2 linked regions of the Nothobranchius furzeri genome follow. The protein of the gene in region 1 interacts with the protein of each later gene in a pairwise test. Links are inferred from orthologs where the notes say so. Each region holds a gene or a part of one and is shown in the gene's direction. Other genes may lie near its edges.

What was found.
Region 2: the proteins of tsen54 (region 1) and tsen2 interact in a two-hybrid assay, tested with the Homo sapiens proteins (2 studies listed by BioGRID and IntAct). The two-hybrid records come from large-scale screens. The link is inferred for Nothobranchius furzeri from reciprocal best matches to the Homo sapiens genes TSEN54 and TSEN2.

Annotation. Positions count from the first base shown.
Region 1 is NC_091745.1:25,422,112-25,426,507, forward strand, and holds the end of tsen54 (tRNA-splicing endonuclease subunit Sen54), read left to right. Parts: intron 1-2,674; coding exon 2,675-2,788; exon of another isoform or gene 2,789-2,952; intron 2,953-3,024; coding exon of another isoform or gene 3,025-3,028; exon of another isoform or gene 3,029-3,069; coding exon 3,070-3,220; 3' UTR 3,221-3,244; exon of another isoform or gene 3,245-3,563; intron 3,564-3,732; 3' UTR 3,733-3,778; downstream 3,779-4,396.
Region 2 is NC_091743.1:77,138,750-77,143,267, forward strand, and holds the start of tsen2 (tRNA-splicing endonuclease subunit Sen2), read left to right. Parts: upstream 1-1,678; 5' UTR 1,679-1,807; coding exon 1,808-1,978; intron 1,979-2,259; coding exon 2,260-2,326; intron 2,327-2,407; coding exon 2,408-2,447; intron 2,448-2,525; coding exon 2,526-2,786; intron 2,787-3,383; coding exon 3,384-3,531; intron 3,532-3,610; coding exon 3,611-3,685; intron 3,686-3,764; coding exon 3,765-3,815; intron 3,816-3,893; coding exon 3,894-4,038; intron 4,039-4,171; coding exon 4,172-4,208; intron 4,209-4,518. Other genes in the region: MKRN2 opposite strand protein, read left to right, coding at 106-155, 690-858, 925-1,147.

The DNA of each region.
Region 1 (4,396 bases):
TATTTAAAGCTACGGGACATTTTTATTAGACTTTAAACTGGTCATGCTCCAAAAATGCAAATTTACAAGGTAAAATAAAGTGATTCTAAAACTGTAAACAGAAACAATCTTTTGACCAAAAGGCAACATTTATTTTTGCTTACCTTGTAAAATATAACACATGATCTGTAGTTACCTAACAGTAGCTGTGAAAGTAATATGGTCAAATACTTTTCAAGTATGTGTAGAAACAAGTTACATGAGTAATCCTGAGTACTCATTTATCAACTTAGAAAATGAATATGAGAATATCTCAAATTTCTGAGTATGGAAAAAATGACATTCAAGGGCCCTCTTATCAGCAGATTCAAACATAAATCATCTCAATTTATGGGACCACAAAAGTAATCAATCAATCAATCAAAGCTTTATTTATAAAGCGCCTTCCGCAACCCTGTCAGGAAGCCCAAAGCGCTGAACATGGTACAGTTGTAAGTAATTATACACAATAAATCAACAATAAAAGAAATTCAAATTACAAAATACAAAATGGAAATTACAAGATAGATGAAACATTCCGGTAAAATACAAATGTGTGAGACACAATTGGATTGAGTGGATGGATTGAGTGTACCAATGAAAACTGTGGAATGGATTCAACATAATAGAGGGCCATAATCAAACATGTTCTGGAAACGCCAAGCGGAGGAGGTGTGATTTTAGGTGATTCTTAAAGACTGGCAGAGAAGGGGACAGCCTAACTGAGGGTGGCAACTGGTTCCAGAGTAACGGTGCTAGGACTGAGAAAGCCCGGTCCCCACGGGTACGACACCTAGACCGAGGGACAGCGAGCAGGCCTTGGTCAGAGGAGCGCAGAGCGCGTGATGGGGAATGTCTGTTCAGGAGTGTGGCCAGATAGGGGGAGCACCACCCTGGAAGAAATGATAAACAAAGACGAGTATTTTGAATTGTGAGCGATAGCAAATCAGAAGCCAGTGCAGGGAGGCCAGAACTGGACTGATGTGGTCCCGTTTCCTGGTCCCATTCAGGAACCTGGCAGCGCTGTTCTGCACAACCTGTAGGCGACGCAGTGTTGACTGACACAACCCTGCGTAGAGAGAGTTGCAGTAGTCAAGCTGAGAAATTACAAAGGCATGCAGTACCTGCTCCAGGTGAGCTCTCGACAGCATATGCTTGATTTTAGCAAGGCGTCTCAGGTGAAAGAAACTGGACCGGATCACAGAATTGATGTGAGCATCAAATTTAAGTCCTACATCAAGTTTCACCCCCAAACTGGTAACAACTGGTTTTGAGTATGGAGAAAGAGGGCCAAGATCAGCATAACGATCCACATTCCTGCTGTTGGGGTGAAAAACAATGAGCTCTGTCTTTCCCTCATTCAGATGTAGATAGTTGGACATTAGCCAAGACTTCACCTCATTAACAAAGGAGACAAAGGACTGAATAGAGTGACCTTTCTCCTGACACAATGGAGAGTAAATCTGGTAATCGTCAGCATACAGATGGAATGATAGGCCATGTTTACGAAAGTAATCGGAGTATTGACTCTCCTAACAAAGATCACAAAAGTGTTTCTCAAACCTGTAACGTGCCAAATGTTTGAGTTCTTGGAATCGATTCTGAACCTTTGTGAATCGATTCTGAATCTTTATAAATAAGAATCCCGATTCAGACTTGAATCGGTTTTTTCAGCACCTCTAGCAACAATAAACAGTAAAAACCATTACCAATAACAACAACAGTAATAGTAGTAATAATGACATTTAATAAATGTTAACATTAGCATTTTAGCTTAAATGCATGACATGAGGACTTTTGGTTGAGGGAGAATGCAACGAGTCACTATATACTGCAGCCGCAGCGTTCTCTGCCAGCATTTAAACCGTGTCACGGACACCCTGTTGCTGGATGAAGCATCTTATTTGTTGATGATGAAGAGAAATATACAATTAGTTCCTTGTCATTGATTTGTTTATTTATTCAATGCCATTTATACTTGAACATTTGGATTTGATTACATAGTGTAGTAGTAATTTTAGTAATTTGTTTAAAGTGGATATTTATTTTAAATACATATTTTTTAAGGTTGACTTGTACAGTGCTCAAGTCAAGTGTGGACTGGAGTTTTAGATTTTCATTTTGATAATGAAGAAAACAAGTATATGAGAAAACAAGTGGTGTTTCTTTGATTTGTTTACATATTGTTTATGTTTTGAATGTTTGGATTTGTATAATTTAAACCTGCACTGACTACTGTAACATGTTGCAGAAAAAGAAGCTATTTGTTCCTTTACTTGTGAAAAGTTGCACTTTTGCTAAGGCTTTGTGTTATTTTAGGTTTAATAAACACTGTTAAACCTTTTCAAAACTATTTCAGTTTGTGTAGAACAGGACTATCAATGCTTTCTGAACATATGCAACACCGTTTAAAAAATACCGCGATAATACCGAAAACCGTGATAATTTTGGTCACAATAACCGTGACGTTAAATTTTCATACCGTGACAACCCTAGTCGGCGCTGAGTCGCCTTTGAAAGAAGACGATAAATCGGGCGTGATTCGTGTCACTCTTTATGACCTTTAACTCCTAAAGCGTGGGCTCGGGTTTGTTTTATTTGTGCTGCTGTTCTCTGAGAGCGAAGACTTTGAGCCGGTGTCCTTTTGTCTGCTCAGGTTAAAAGGCGCGGACGAGTGGAGGATCTGTTTCAATGTTTACCAGCCTGATTCGGTGGCTGACTTCAGGAAGAGCAACCCGGGGAAGCCGTACGCCCGCATGTGTGTTTGTAGGTGAGCGATGACAGCCGGAGTGCTTGTTGATTCAGGATTGACTTTCAGAGAAACCATTAACACGACCCGAACCAGCCCTTTGTTCTGATGAGGATAGATTACTGATGGTTTTGTTTTTTTGCTTTGTTAATGTCAGGAGAACGCTAATAAGAACTTGTGGCACCGTGAGTTTGTTTTTGTTCTCAGATTTAGTTTCCTGTTGATGAGTTTTCAGAGTGATTTCCTCAATGTTGCAGATGAAATTTCAGCCGATGATTCTCACAGAGCTGACTCTGTTCCAGCTTCAGTGGTCCTGTTCCTGATCTGGGAGTCATCAAGCAGCTGACCTTTCAGAGCGGAGACGTCCCCGTTGTCTTTGCTGTCGTCGACCACGGAGACATTTCCTTCTACAGCTTCAAAGACTTCCAGCTGCCGCGGGACGTCTATCCCTGAGGATCACGTGTCTAGGACATTTATGTCAGTCTGAGTCTGCTGGATGGATTTTCTAGCTCTGATTTTTAATGAAAGTTAGTTTTGGTGGCAAAGATTTGATCTACTGGACATTTATTTATACAGGGCCAATCAGTTTGTCGACACTTAGGAGAAGCTTTTTGTTTCCTCTTGGGGACTAGATCTATCAGAATCATACTTTATCTTTCATAAAAAGTCATCAGACTTTATAACCTGCTGCCACTTTGACACCTGAGCAGTTACGTTTGCAACAGGAATTCAAAACAAACTGGCATCAGAGATTATTGGTGAAAGGTTCTTGTTTTATATTTAGTACTCTAAGGAACAAACTGAATGATATATTAACGCATCTTTTAAATGAACAAACATGTTCTTATGATTTATGGTGGAAGAATGCAAATATGCTTCATAATATTAAACTATTTCATTTTAGGGATGCATGATCATATGTGATAATTTCTATTAATATATTTTATTTTTTATCTTCCTCACAGTCTTTTCCTGTTGAAAGAAGAGAAGAAAATAAAACCTGTATTCCAATTCATTGCATTTTTTTGTGTGGTAAACGTCTCGGTACTCGGTATCGGCGAGTACTCAGATCCAAGTATCGGTATCGTATTGGTTTGGAAAAAAGTGGTATTGTTGCATCCCTATAGTTCTTTTCGTAAAAAAAAAATTGTCAGAAAACATTTAGCACTGGATGATTTTACAATAGAAACTATTCAGAGTTTAAAAGGGTGACAGGAAGTTTGACTTTACATACAGTAAGTACAGAAAGTTTTCAGACCCCCGTCAGTTTTTCACTCTTTGTTTTGCAGCCATTTGCTAAAATCAATTAAATTCATTTTTTCCTCATTAATGTGCACTCAGCACCCCATACTGACAGAAAAACACAGAAATGTCACATGATCCTAAGTATTCAGACCCTTTGCTGTGACACTCATATGCTTAACTCATTTATTTAACACTCGTGCTTACATGTATAGCCCCCACCCTCCATGTTCAGCAACATCTCATGGTGTTGCCTGCCTCTTGGCCCGGTCATCATTGTAAATGAGAATGGGTGCTCAATCGACTAACGTAGTTAAATGAAGGTCAACTGAATGAAAAATAGAAAGGTGTGCTTTTGTTCTAGCCATCCTCTGCATCTCAGTGTTC
Region 2 (4,518 bases), on another chromosome or scaffold:
ATGAAGCTTTTTTATCATCTAATTGTAACCAGTGTCACCTGGTATGTTCCAGTTCAAACCAGTTTGAATTAGTCTAACCAGCATTTTCTGCTGTTTGTGTCTCAGAGACTTTGACGGGACGTCCGATCTGCACACCGGCATCTCTGACACTAAAGGTAAAAGCTCGACCTGAGGCGTGTTGGACCGGGTCTGCGAGGGTTAAATGGACTCAAGCACTGAAGAGAGCCAGATGTTCAGAGCAGAAACTGTTTATCAGCACTATCGACTGAACAGCCAATTGCAGCAGCAGCAAAGATGCTGTTAGGAGGAAGTCACACTCAAACGGAAGCCACCATCAGAAATTTGTGTGTTCACACACCTCTACGAAGCCTTGCTTACAGGAGAAGTTCATGTTGATCTTTGACCTTCAGGAGAGAAAAGAAAAAGTCAAAAAGATGTGAGCGACAATATCTAAGAAGGAAGAAACAAAAATAAATGAAAAAGTTATAAAATGGTTTGATGTAAAGATTTGCCTGTTTGTGTTTGTGTCCCACCTGAGTGTCTCACCTGAGTGTCCCACCTGTGTGTCTCACCTGTGTGTCTCACCTGAGTGTCTCACCTGAGTGTCTCACCTGAGTGTCTCACCTGAGTGTCTCACCTGAGTGTCCCACCTGTGTGTCTCACCTGAGTGTCCCACCTGTGTGTCTTAGGAGTTGTGTACAACTACACTCAGGATGGCGTGCAACGGGACCAAAGCGGATGGGAATGCTGCATCAGTGTCCCGCTGGTCCGACCTGATATGTTCCACCTGCTGGATCAGTGGGACCAGTACCTGGAGCGTTTCTCTGATGGACCCATGTGGGATCCTGTGTGGCACAAGTAAGTTTCATGTGAGACATCCAAAGTTCTCTCCGACCACCACCTGACCACCAGTGTGTATCTCAGGTTCCACGAGGACGACCACAACTGCTTCAGCTTCTGTCTTCACTTCCTGAACAGCATCCTGGAGGCAGAGGGACGCAGCCCTCTGAGCAGAGAAGACTTCACCCACTGCTTCATCCTGCCCAAGATGAGGAGGGTGTCCAAATACACCACGCTGTACCAGCACATCCAGAAACACCAGTATTATGTGGTGGACAGACAGGAGGACACCACGCCCACCAGTTAAACCAACTTAATCAGGATGTCATTACCCCCAAAATACCAAAATTCTAAATTTAAATGTAACACTTAAAGAAACACTGCAGATATAAAGCAAATATCTAAAAACACAAACATCACCATAATGGAGAGGACCTCTGACCCGGGGGTTTCGGTGGGTTTGGTCTGTTCTGGTGTTTCAGAGAATATTTATTATTCATTTAATTGTCTGACATTGTGAATAAGTGAAACTGATTTCATGTTCTGTTTTTGTTTGAGTCTTTGGTCCTTCCTAACTTTGTTTTGTATTGTTTTATTTATTTTGTAAATAAAAATTTATGTGTGGCCTGTTTCAGACTCAAACAGAAACAAGTGTCTGAATCAATTAGAACCGTAAAGTGAACAAAAAGTCAACGTTTTAAAAGCTTCTGAAGATAAAGTGAAGTACCGGTTTATTGTAGATTATACTTCAGACAAAAATCACATGAAAATAACATTTCAGCTGTAGGAGGAACCGATAAAATTAGCCGATGTTGGCGCACGAACATATATTTAGTTACACTGCCTCGTCCGACAGTAAAACAAGTCCCCTCGCTGAGTGCTAACAGATGCGCTAACAGAATAATACCGACCCTACAGTTCTCACCATCAGCCCGGAACCAGCGCGGGCTCTGCCGGAGCCGGCACCATGCGGGCAGAGTTCCGGGCTCCCCAACGACGAACCCGGGTTTATGAGGACTACGAGGCTCCGCTGCCGGTGAGCCGGGACCCGCATGAGAGGAAGGTCTACCGAGCGGAGCTCATCAACCAGCAGGTTCTGGTCTGTCATCCGGACCACATCCAGAAGATCCACAACCAGGTCAGAGTTCGTTCACATTAGAAACCAGGTCTTGTTCTTCGTCTCCTGTCAGCCTGCCTTTAGTTTTTATTCCATTTCTGTCCACTCGGTTGTTTGGTTTGAATCGGAGGCAGGCGAGTCTCACGTAAAATGTAGTTTGTTTTGACTGACAGCTCTGGGTTGTTCAGAGATCCTTGAGACCTTCCACTGGTTCCTTCCCGGTTCCTCCACACTTAGCCCCCTGACCTTCTGAAAGCTGTCAGTAGAACACATCTAGACTGACCAGAGTTTGTTGTTTTCAGGGTTTCTTTGGAAAAGGTGTTCTGTCCAGAGCCAGGCCCAACCACAGCGTCTCGGACAAATGGGAGCGTGAGTTGACACCTGCAGTGATGTCACTGTCAGTCTGGTCCAGTCTGTGCTGTTCACACCTGGTCTCTGTTTGTGTTACAGAACACGCAGGTCTACTTCTGCCTGTTGTCTCTCCATCCAGGTCAGTGCCATCATAAGCTACCTGTTCACACAGTGACATCACTTCTGTTATGATGATGTCACACGTTATCTTTCACAGGTATGAGGAGCTGCTCAGATGGGCAAAGGAGGCTCTCTCTGCTGAAGGACTGGATGAAGAAGTGTTCGGTAAAACCCTGCTCGCGTTGACTCGGGCAGTGGACATTGAAGATGTAAAGAAGGAGTTGGGAGGAGGGCAGGCAGAGGGGGAGAACGGAACAAGGGAGGAGGAAGAAGAGGTGAAGCCAATAGAAGCCTGTGATCTCCCAAAGGGGCAGAGGTTGGAGTCAGAGGTGGAGCCAGAAGCCAAGAGAGGCTGCAGGTAAATGTAGACTGTTTTATGTCAAACCAGCACACTTGGCTTTGTTAGAACCCTGAAGGTCCTGCTAAAGTACCAATAAACTAAAGACATGGTTAAAAATGAAAGGTACAGGTGATATTCAAAAGGACTGAGAGGTCAAACACAAATTCTGGCTCAGGACAGCATTTGTAGAATGACAGATCAATCTAGAGTGAAGATTTTCATGACTGTGTTGAAGCTGATAGAAACAGCAGGTTCTTGGTCCATCTGAGCTTGCATGAAGGTCCAGATTTCTATCCAGAGAACTGCCGTTTGGCCTGGGAGGGTTCTTGGGTCAGTGCTATGGGGCTCTCTGTATCCCTAATGGGCCAACATAGACCAGCTAAATCCCCAAAAGAACCCCAGTGAGTCTGATGAAGCCCCAAGTTGGTCAACAGGCATAGGTTTATAGGATTTTAAATGCAGCAGAAAGCCTTTGAGACCAGGGAAACATAATGCAGGTACAGCAGTAGCACAAAGAGGCTGATGGAGGGAGCTGTGAATTCAGGCCAGCGTGCAAGGAGTTTTGATCAGTTGGTTTTCTTCGACCGAATAAACCTTTTTCTTGTCAACATTCAGATCAAATCAACAGGATCCTGATTCTAGCTCTGAACAGGACTCTGACTCAACCCCAGATTCTGGTCCTGATCCAGCCTCTGACTCGGATCTCGATAATGGTCTTATGGTTCCAGGTCCTGGTTTTGTCCTGGTGGTCTCTGAAGGTCAGGTGGGTCTCTGAAGCTGCAGGTCCTGTTGTGTTTCTGAGCTGCTTCTGTTGTTGATGATTTGCTGTCGTATGGCTGCAGGACGGAGGAGGAGTCAGAGAGGTGAGGCGGAGTCCACTGTCTTTCACAGAGTACCTGCAACTTGGTCTGGAGGAGGTAACACACCTGAGTCATGGACTTTGATTAGGTTTGCTTCAGTATTTACCTGCCCACTCACCTGTCTGCTGACCTACAGGCCTTCTTCCTGGTCTACAGTCTGGGTTGCCTTTCCGTCTACCTTCAGCAGGTGTGTAGTGTTAGTTCATCGCTTGGTTCCTATCATAAAGAGTTGAACTTGTCTCTGTTCTCTCCTGTGATTGGTCAGGAGCCACTGTCAATCATCCAGCTTTGGAGGAAGTTCCGATCGCTTCATCCTGACTTCATCAGCTTGTACGCTGCTTATCATCATTTTCGCAGCAAGGGGTGGGTCCCTAAAGGAGGAGGCGGGGCCAAGTATGGTGCCGATCTCAGTAAGAACAGAAATCACACAAATATCTAGTCAGTCAACAATCAGAGCAGATTTACCCAAAAATGCTCTGGTGCTGTCAGATTTAAGGTAACGATGATGACTCTGAGAAACATTCAGTCTGTGTTTGTTTCCAGTGTTATACAGGAAAGGACCGCCTTTCTACCATGCCAGGTAACACACACACACACACAGTCGTACTTGTCTCCGTATCCTTGTGTGGACCCTCCATTGACTTCCTTTCATTTTTGTGACTTCACTTTTCCTAATCCTAAGCAAAACCCATGGGGTTCTATTTTTAACCCTAACCTAAACTAAGTGAATTCACACCATACCTCTAGAACCAAGTGTTTGGGTGCTTAGCGTTGTGTGGACCAGCAAAATATCCCCACAGTGTAAAAATGTCCTTGCGTTACAGGTTAAAGTTAAAAGTACACACACACACACACACACACACACACACACACACACACACACACACACA